Linked DNA regions of Saccharomyces cerevisiae S288C. Changing the gene in region 1 together with any one later gene gives a genetic interaction. Each region holds a gene or a part of one and is shown in the gene's direction. Other genes may lie near its edges. The genes, in order: PKR1, ARL1 and TLG2.

Region 1 (2,859 bases):
AAAAATCATATCATAATGGACTCGCGGTTGACGCCTAGTTAAACCAATGAAGAGGTGGGCGAACTTGTGGGAGTTATATATATTTAGGCCAATTGGGCCATTGCATGTTTCCTATAATATATTTTAATATAAAAATTTATTTATTAATACAGCAACTCATTAGATTAATCGAGTGGTGGTAAGGCTTTTTTTGCTCGCAATGCGAGCACGTGACAGAAAGTGAGAATGAACGTCTGACATTGCTAGTGTCACGTTCAGAAAACGAGAAGACGGGTAAAACAAAAATATTGATGATTGTTGGTTAGCAATATCAAATTCATTGAAGGAGGTCACAACCGCGAGAGAAAGTAAGATGTCATGTTTTTGAATATGAACCTGGAGCTCGCATATAACTCTTTCCAGTGGCACCTTTAGATTTATTTTAACTCTGAAATGTAGGTTTTTTTTTTTTTAGACAAGTCACGATAAGTAGTTGTTGTTAGCGACTTTATTCACAGCATTTTTTTATGTAGCATTTGTAGAAATAGGGGAATTATATCGGAGTACTCAAGAAACTAACGGGCTTCTGAGTAAAGGGGCTTCCCGATGTAATGGCATCCAAGGTACTTATCTAACTGATTTTTGATTGGAAGAAACATTTAGAATGCAACCTCAATTGTGGGCAATTACGACCAATGACAGCCAAATCCAGTAAGGTTTCAAAGGGATAATTTACTGAGAAAACAGATTTACTATTCTGGAGGCAGGAGTGATATATTCTTATTCTTCCTATCCATGGGAATAACGATGCACTTTTTTATGGGTAAGGTGTGCTCCCAGTTTTTCTTACCAAGAAGTGTGCAATTGGTACGGTAATATCGTATTTGTTTGCACTGATGTACCCACGCTTTAGCCATTTAAGTTATTACGAATCTACTCTGTCTATTTTTTTTTTACCAACTCCCTACCCAGAGGGAAAATGCGTATGCAATCTAAAATACTTTATTTCCCATTCCGTGCCTTAGGCAAACACAAATGGATTTTGGCTGCATACCGAGGGGTCTAGGTGGTGATGAGGTCGCTACAACCCAGGATGGTTATCTCGTTTCTTCGAATTTCCGCAGCAAAGAGGACCCTTATTGCAGGGATGGAACCTTTTCTGCACAAAGCAAAATCCTCAGGATGTTTCTCTCCTCTGTCTTTCTTTGCCGAGCTCCATCGTGCTAGCGCATCGGACAGGAAGCAGTGAAATACAAGAAAAGTATACAAGCAGTATTCCTGCTCAAGAACCCAGTTTTCAGTTATAGTTTCCACTCCTTTCAATAGATGGGAAACTATATATCCATTAACTAAAATGGCCAGTCAGACTATCTCTTCTCCTCACTAGTGCCTAATCTCTGGTGTCGCCACTCCTGCTGCTGCTAATTATAAGGGCAAAGTCAGACCATCACTTACATTGAGGTGAATATTAAAACCAGTGAAGGTTCTGTTTTTCTCGGGAGTATTTCCGGCAGTAACACCGTTACTTATACCAAAGAGAATTTTTCTGTTGGTATGATTACTGACCCTGTCTGCTCGAAGCACGGTATCATCATTTACCGTTGTTTCTTTCGTCCTAGATATCGGTGTCTCAGAAACTCCAATTGAAGATGTACAGGTGATTAATTACGTCTTTTTATCAATCTATTTACCTATATATTTCAATTTTGATTTTTATTTGGCGAGTGACATGTGAAAACTTTGCCTATGAACCTGAATAGCGCATTCATATTTTAAGAACATGGTAGGGTATAGCAGATGTTCTTTAATTTTCTTTGACTGCGTTTACCCGGCGTTTTTTGCTTGACTGAAAATCAAATGAAGAAAAATAGAGATGGTCTTTTCTTTTTGTCATATCCAAGAACACGTCCATCTAATTGATTAGTGCCAAAAATCGCAGGGATATAACTTCGAAAATTTCTCAAAATGGCCAATTTTTTTGTTAGACTGTGGGAAAGTGTATTTGAACCAGGGACCTCCCCCCAGCTGATCATCGCCACACACGTATCTTTTGTTGCACTACTACTGACCCTCATCTGGCTCATCTATGCCACAAACGGGAATATCCACTTCTATGCTCTTTTCTGTATATCACTTTTACTATGGATTACCGTTATCTGGTTTATAAACGAATTATCACACGTCAAATTGAAGGATAATGATGAGCTGGATAAAGATGCCAATAAAAAGGACGACAGTGCCATCAAGGAAGACAGCGAAGACAAGCAAGAAAGCGGGAAATCCACTAGTACTGCCAGACGGACTCAAGCACAATCTAGGTCAAGAAAAGCATAGACAGATACATAATTGACTACATAATTATCTCTGTTATTAGTATATCACAGAGCTTCCGGGTAAATGTCCGCAATTGTAAATTTTTTTGTCCGCTTCAGGGTCTCCCCTGATATTTTTTTTTTTTCAAAAATTCCTTTTTTTTAAATCAAATTTTGGGCTCAATTATGGACAAATGAAGCACATGCAAAGAGTTAACGCGTGCGACTGAATAGAACAACTCTTTCAGCATCGCAAACCCTTCAAATTGTGAATAAATAGGCATTTCAAGTAACTGTGTCAGCAGCACATTGCATAGGAATTCTGATTTTTTGTTTTAGTGACTGCCCTCCTAATTTTTTTTTTTTTAGTTTACGGCTATAGCTAAATTTGGAGCTTTCTTTCATTAATTTTCACCGAGCTATTAATAACCCTACAAAAAGAGCAGAGAGGTACAGCCTGATCCGATAAAGCAGTGGGATAAAAAGTACTCAAAGACTATTTATAAAAAGTTCAAAATGGATGCAGGTTTATCGACCATGGCAACAAGAAACGGTCAGTCTTCTGCTA
Region 2 (2,732 bases), on another chromosome or scaffold:
TAGAATTTGTTATTTCGGCTAGAGAATGGAGCTCGGTTGTTTCTTTTGCCAATTTTGATATATACAAAAAGCAATTTCAGAGTGTTCAAAAGTTCTTTGAGCCAATGCTTCCAGAGGCTAATCTCATTGGCAACGAGATGATAAAAACCATTCTGAGTCATTCTAGTGACCGTTCGGCCGCTGAAAAAAGAAATACATAATGTTTTTAATGCTGATTTCCTATAATATTAGGCCTTCTTTTGTGAAAAGGAGTATATTTATATAACTGAATAAAAATATATATTGTGACAAATGCCCATGCAAAAAATCGTGAAAAAAGGAAGAAAGTTCTACTATTCTATGTAAAAATAAACCCATTAGATTTTTTTCCTCTTTGTGTAATGCTCACTACCGCGATTATCGTTCGTTTCATCTGGACATGCCAACGTTCTTGACCTTTTAGAACTTACGACCGGATGAATACTGTCATCATCACATGCAAGTAAGTTTTTGGTCATAAAGTCGATAGCATTGTAGTCATGTGTCCTTTTGTTAACGTTATTATTGTTGAGAGTAGATAACATACTAGACTTTCCTATGCTGCTGTTAGTATAAGGGTTCTTGCTGTTGTCTTGTGCGTGAAAGGTGTGGCTTTGAGCATTGTAAGAGGACATAAATTCATTGACACTGCCACCATTACTATTGCTGATATTATGATTTTTGGAATAGCTCTTTACTATAGAGTAATCACCTGGTTGTAAAGTACCTATCAGTTCCGGAAAATAAGATTTAAAGTCCTTATATATAATCCTATTCCACGCCCTGTTGAATTTTACCGTTGACGGTGAATACTGTAAGTCTTCCGTTGCTTGAATATGAAAAAGCGGTTGCCATATGTGGAAAAGTAAATCCTGTAATCCCAAGTCTTTCAATAAAAGATAGTTTAAGTGTGTCATCGAAACCGTTCTGTTAATTGGAAAGCAACAATTTGGAGACAGACATTTCATGATGATATATGGATCCTGGTCGTTTCCGCCAATATAAAGTAGTAGATATACTTCCAAAGAAGTCCTGGGCTCGTACATTACCACGTGCCAAAGATGTAAGTCTGAATCATGTGGCCTTACATGAAAAAGACCTTGGGTCTTCTCAGGATGGCGCATAAAATATTTCCAATCCTTCAGCAATTTCCTTGTTAAAGAGTAAGCCATAATTATTAGCTTTTTGATTAAAATATAAAAAAATCTGTTTAGCTCTTATATCGCCTCCTCGCACAAAATCACGACAAAGGCAACGTTAGATTGATGCTCTCAAAACATACTAAGAATGTGTTCTATGATATATATGGGAAGAGTAGGTTAAATATTTCTTATGACAATAACAAAACCCACTGCATCGTACAGGACGGGTAACAGAGCCCTTTCCAATTGAAATTTTGAATAAAACTATTTTGCCTATAAAAGTTAGATTTACGACAATTAATATTAGGCAGAATGTTCTCGGAACTTTCAAGTAGTAAAGGATTGCGTGGTTCATTTGTATTTACGAAACGGTGAGTAATAAGGTTTCTAAAACCAAAGGAAAAATAAAGAAAGATCTAAGAAGAAAGTTCCAGTAAAGTGAGTTATAGATCAAGATGGGTAACATTTTTAGTTCAATGTTTGACAAACTATGGGGTTCAAACAAAGAATTGCGTATATTGATTTTGGGTTTGGATGGTGCAGGTAAAACTACCATCTTATATCGTTTACAAATTGGCGAAGTAGTCACTACAAAGCCAACCATTGGTTTCAATGTAGAGACGCTAAGTTATAAAAACTTAAAATTGAACGTCTGGGATCTTGGTGGTCAAACAAGTATCAGGCCCTACTGGAGGTGTTATTATGCAGACACTGCTGCAGTTATTTTCGTTGTTGATTCGACTGATAAAGATCGTATGTCTACAGCCTCTAAGGAACTTCATTTGATGTTACAGGAAGAAGAATTGCAAGATGCAGCACTGCTGGTTTTTGCAAATAAACAAGACCAACCGGGTGCATTAAGTGCCAGTGAAGTCTCCAAAGAACTGAATCTTGTAGAATTGAAGGACAGAAGTTGGTCTATCGTAGCATCCAGTGCAATTAAAGGCGAAGGTATTACCGAAGGTTTAGATTGGTTGATTGATGTTATAAAAGAGGAACAGTTATAGCGATAAAGATTTGCAAAAAAAAAGTGTAGATGCATACTTTTTAAATGGCATTGAATATACATATAATTTGTTTTGTAACTGAATTATCAAGGAGCTCTATCCAAACATAATAGAGTTAGTAAGTGTATACATGTTTCTCTTTGGGTTTTAATTCTAAAGGCAATTACATCGTTCCGATGAATGAGAAGGCCGCATTAAAATACCTAATGACCTCTTAATGAAAGTTGCATATATACATTTAAATTAAATTGTCATTTCAATTCCGATTTATTGAAACAGGACGTCCGAAAGCAGAAACAGATTTATGTGCTTAATAACCCAATAAAGGACTTCAATGTATTCACGAAACAACACCCTTTTAATAACTAGAATAAATAATGTTACAATACCTACACTACTTCATACTTGATTCAAGAATAATTTTTTTTAATTCTTTCCCTAGATCAATAAGTTTCAATTCATTTTTATTTTTCCAAGAACAAACGTGTCTGTAGTCACAAAACTTACAGTATGTGTTGAAGTTTTTTTGAGTAGGCTCAATTGGATGCATATCTCTGCCACCAAA
Region 3 (3,659 bases), on another chromosome or scaffold:
TCTCCAACTCGTGGAATTCTCGCTATCATAAACTCTGATGTCCTTAACTTGTAAATTTCGTCTACGGTGGGATCATCAATTGGTGTGTGTGTAAATTCGTTTGCAAAATATTCACCCCATTCTTCATTTATTTTAACTGCAGCTCGTAATCTGTCTGTAGTTACTTTTTCGCTCAATGATTTCCGAACACCCTTTAGAAATTTCATCTGACTATTGATCTTACTCAGTTTTCCTTTGTCGCTGGGCTTCCTTTTCTTTCGATTTTCCAACTTTTGACTCATCAAAGAGCATAAAACTTCACAACTATCTAATATGTTATTGGCCCCGCACATAGCAAACCTGCTGGCGTGAAAAGTTTGATGGTTGAACCCTGTATCGCCTTTCAAGTGAGTGAGCCTTTGAATTTCATTATGGAAAAGTGCGGAGTAGCTACAATTCCAATCGATCATGCATCTCAATAATATTATTCTATCTAATGGTTCCATCGTCAACAAACCACCTCCATTAAAATTTAGAGTAGATAAAATATCACTATTACCACGCCATTCTTTTGGTAAGCCCCACTCCTGGATTAAGCTTCTGAGTTTGCCAACCAGTTTTCCATATGGATTTTTCAAACTAAGAAATCTTTTTAGCGTGAAATTTCTATGAGTTTGGTTGTCTGCTCTTTTCTCGGAGCAGAATAATAACCTCAAAAGACTGCAAAATAGTAGATTCATTTTATCCTGACAAATTCGAATATTCTTCGCAGAATGGCCAGCCACCTTTAATTCTAGTCCTATCTCCACATCTTGAAATGACAGGTTCAGTAGATCGTCGCTGAACACCCATTTAAATTTGACGATAAAAGAAAGGATCTTCATAACATCGCCTGCATATGGGAGAGGGGTGCAAAGGGGAGGCGCCCAATTGCTTTCCGTTACCGTCTCATCACTCATAAACTTTGCAAAGTCAGAATATCGTAAAGGAATATTTGGTGACCAGTTTAATGTATTCAATGGTCTATTATTAGAAGTAGTGTGTTCACTGATCGACTCTACCTTGTTAGTGTCGTTCGAATGTGTTTTGATATTAGAATATTTGCTTGCCATATTTGCCTCCATTTCTTTAGTTTTCATTTCTTCATCACAGGTACCTTCATATTTCTCCCGCTTTTTAGTATTTTGGGTAGCAGCATCCAGTGATTCGTCAATTGAACTATTGTGAGAAAGTACAACAGGTTCTTCTACAATTTTGATGTTTCTGAAATCATCAAAGGTCAACTGACCCCTTCTTTTTACCCTAGGCTTTGAAGACTGGTTTTTCTGTTGTTTGACCATAGGTTTCTTGATAAAGTCATCGACCAAGTCTAAATCAATAATTTCTGTCATTATTGTACCTCAAATTTCTTGTTCCTTATTTTCTTGTTTGATGTCTAAAAAAAAGAGATATCCTGGTAATGAGCAGGCCGTTTCTTCAGCTCATACAATCGAAAGCTTAAGAGTTAGTCGTTGATATGGTATTCTCTAATACCGAAAATAACTTAGTACATATAAACGCGTAAAGTTCACGCGTTTATATCACCCTACCATATGACATTCTAACCCTACTAATTTTTTATCAAAGCTAATAGGGTTGTATTTTATTATCTTTTACACCTACCTTTTTTTTTTGTATATGCCCTATAGATGAATTATAATTGTTGGACCGGTTTGTATTGGGCTTTTAAGGTGTAAAGTGAGTGCGTATAGATTATAGCAGAATAGACTATAAGTACGGCAAGACAGGAAAGTCTCCAATTGATGTACATTTTATCGCTTTGTGATCTAGGCAGTCGTTACAAACATGTTTAGAGATAGAACTAATTTATTTTTATCATACCGTAGGACTTTCCCTCATAACATAACTTTCTCATCTGGGAAAGCACCCTTGGGCGATGATCAAGATATTGAAATGGGTACATACCCGATGATGAATATGTCTCACGATATATCGGCCAGATTGACAGATGAACGAAAAAACAAGCATGAGAATCACAGTGATGCGTTACCACCCATATTTATTGATATAGCGCAGGATGTTGATGATTATCTTCTGGAGGTGAGACGGTTAAGTGAGCAGTTGGCGAAGGTTTATAGGAAGAATTCGTTACCTGGCTTTGAAGACAAGAGTCATGATGAGGCGCTGATTGAAGATCTAAGTTTCAAAGTAATTCAGATGCTGCAGAAATGTTACGCTGTTATGAAACGATTAAAGACCATATACAACTCTCAATTTGTGGATGGTAAGCAATTAAGTCGAGAAGAGCTGATTATACTAGATAATCTACAGAAGATCTATGCAGAAAAGATACAAACTGAAAGTAATAAGTTCAGAGTATTACAAAATAATTACTTGAAATTCTTGAACAAGGATGATTTGAAACCTATCCGCAATAAGGCCAGTGCAGAGAACACGCTATTATTAGATGATGAGGAAGAGGAGGCAGCAAGAGAGAAGAGAGAGGGCCTCGATATTGAAGACTATTCAAAAAGGACGTTGCAGAGACAGCAACAGCTTCATGACACTTCTGCAGAAGCATATTTGAGAGAACGTGACGAAGAAATTACTCAGTTGGCAAGGGGTGTATTAGAAGTGAGCACTATTTTCAGGGAAATGCAAGATTTGGTTGTTGACCAGGGGACTATTGTGGACAGGATTGATTATAATCTGGAAAATACAGTGGTAGAGCTAAAAAGTGCAGATAAAGAGTTGAATAAAGCAACACACTACCAGAAGAGAACTCAAAAATGTAAAGTCATTTTATTACTAACATTGTGCGTAATAGCGCTCTTTTTCTTTGTTATGTTGAAACCACATGGCGGTGGCAGTGGTGGTCGTAATAATGGTAGCAACAAGTACAACAATGATGATAATAAAACAGTTAATAACAGTCATGATGACGGCAGTAATACCCATATTAATGACGAAGAGAGCAACTTGCCGAGTATCGTTGAAGTAACAGAATCTGAGAATGATGCTTTGGATGACCTACTTTGATGACAAAACTTTCACGGTACCGCATCGCGATTTTGAACTATAATATGCTTTGAAGAAAATTGAGAGATTTAGTCAGCGTTCATATGACCTGTTGCTCGTTCTATTTGAGAAAAGTGAAAAGGTTAATATATGATTTCAATAAAGTATGTAGTATGATAATAAAATACAAATTTATATGGGATAAAATTGAACCGCAAGTAAAGACTGGCGAACGAATATTGTGCATAAGTAGTTCCTGAAGATGATAAAATATGGTTTAATACAAGTTGGTGGTTATTGTGATTTGTAGAATATAAAAAAAAAAAAAGAACCTTCATTTTTCTTTTTTTACCTAAATCCGTAAGGATTGTTCAGTGAAGTAGTAGCTCGGGGCAAGTTTTTGTTTTGCATTCTCCTCTTATAGGCAGGCTTATATCCTTGTGTTATCGGGCTTTGGTTTGGTAAAGGATTCGGAGCAAAACCGACGCCTGGTACCGGATTTCTGTGCTGTGGCACTTGGTTTGGGGCAACGTTGAAATAAGGATTGCTTTGTAAAATAACATTAGAAGGATCTGGACCAGCAGGAGTAGTTCTTTGATATAAATTGTATTGATGATATTGCTGCTGTGGTTGCTGTTGTTGTGGTTGTAGTCGTTGTTGGG

What was found.
Region 2: mutations in PKR1 (region 1) and ARL1 together harm fitness more than expected from each alone (negative genetic interaction), as found in Saccharomyces cerevisiae (5 studies listed by BioGRID, with this or other methods).
Region 3: mutations in PKR1 (region 1) and TLG2 together harm fitness more than expected from each alone (negative genetic interaction), as found in Saccharomyces cerevisiae (5 studies listed by BioGRID, with this or other methods).

The regions. Positions count from the first base shown.
Region 1 is NC_001145.3:511,649-514,507, forward strand, and holds PKR1 (Pkr1p), read left to right. Parts: upstream 1-1,944; coding exon 1,945-2,313; downstream 2,314-2,859. Other genes in the region: EPO1 (Epo1p), read left to right, coding at 2,808-2,859. UniProt on the Saccharomyces cerevisiae protein: Functions together with the other V-type ATPase assembly factors in the endoplasmic reticulum to efficiently assemble the V-type ATPase membrane sector V(0).
Region 2 is NC_001134.8:567,310-570,041, reverse strand, and holds ARL1 (Arf family GTPase ARL1), read left to right. Parts: upstream 1-1,615; coding exon 1,616-2,167; downstream 2,168-2,732. Other genes in the region: TYR1 (prephenate dehydrogenase (NADP(+))), read left to right, coding at 1-200; UBS1 (Ubs1p), read right to left, coding at 357-1,190; EXO5 (Exo5p), read right to left, coding at 2,562-2,732. UniProt on the Saccharomyces cerevisiae protein: Recruits golgins such as IMH1 to the Golgi. Can bind and hydrolyze GTP. May be involved in trafficking events within the endosomal system.
Region 3 is NC_001147.6:290,240-293,898, reverse strand, and holds TLG2 (t-SNARE syntaxin TLG2), read left to right. Parts: upstream 1-1,824; coding exon 1,825-3,018; downstream 3,019-3,659. Other genes in the region: ESC8 (Esc8p), read right to left, coding at 1-1,370; TOS7 (Tos7p), read right to left, coding at 3,346-3,659. UniProt on the Saccharomyces cerevisiae protein: t-SNARE that functions in transport from the endosome to the late Golgi and on the endocytic pathway.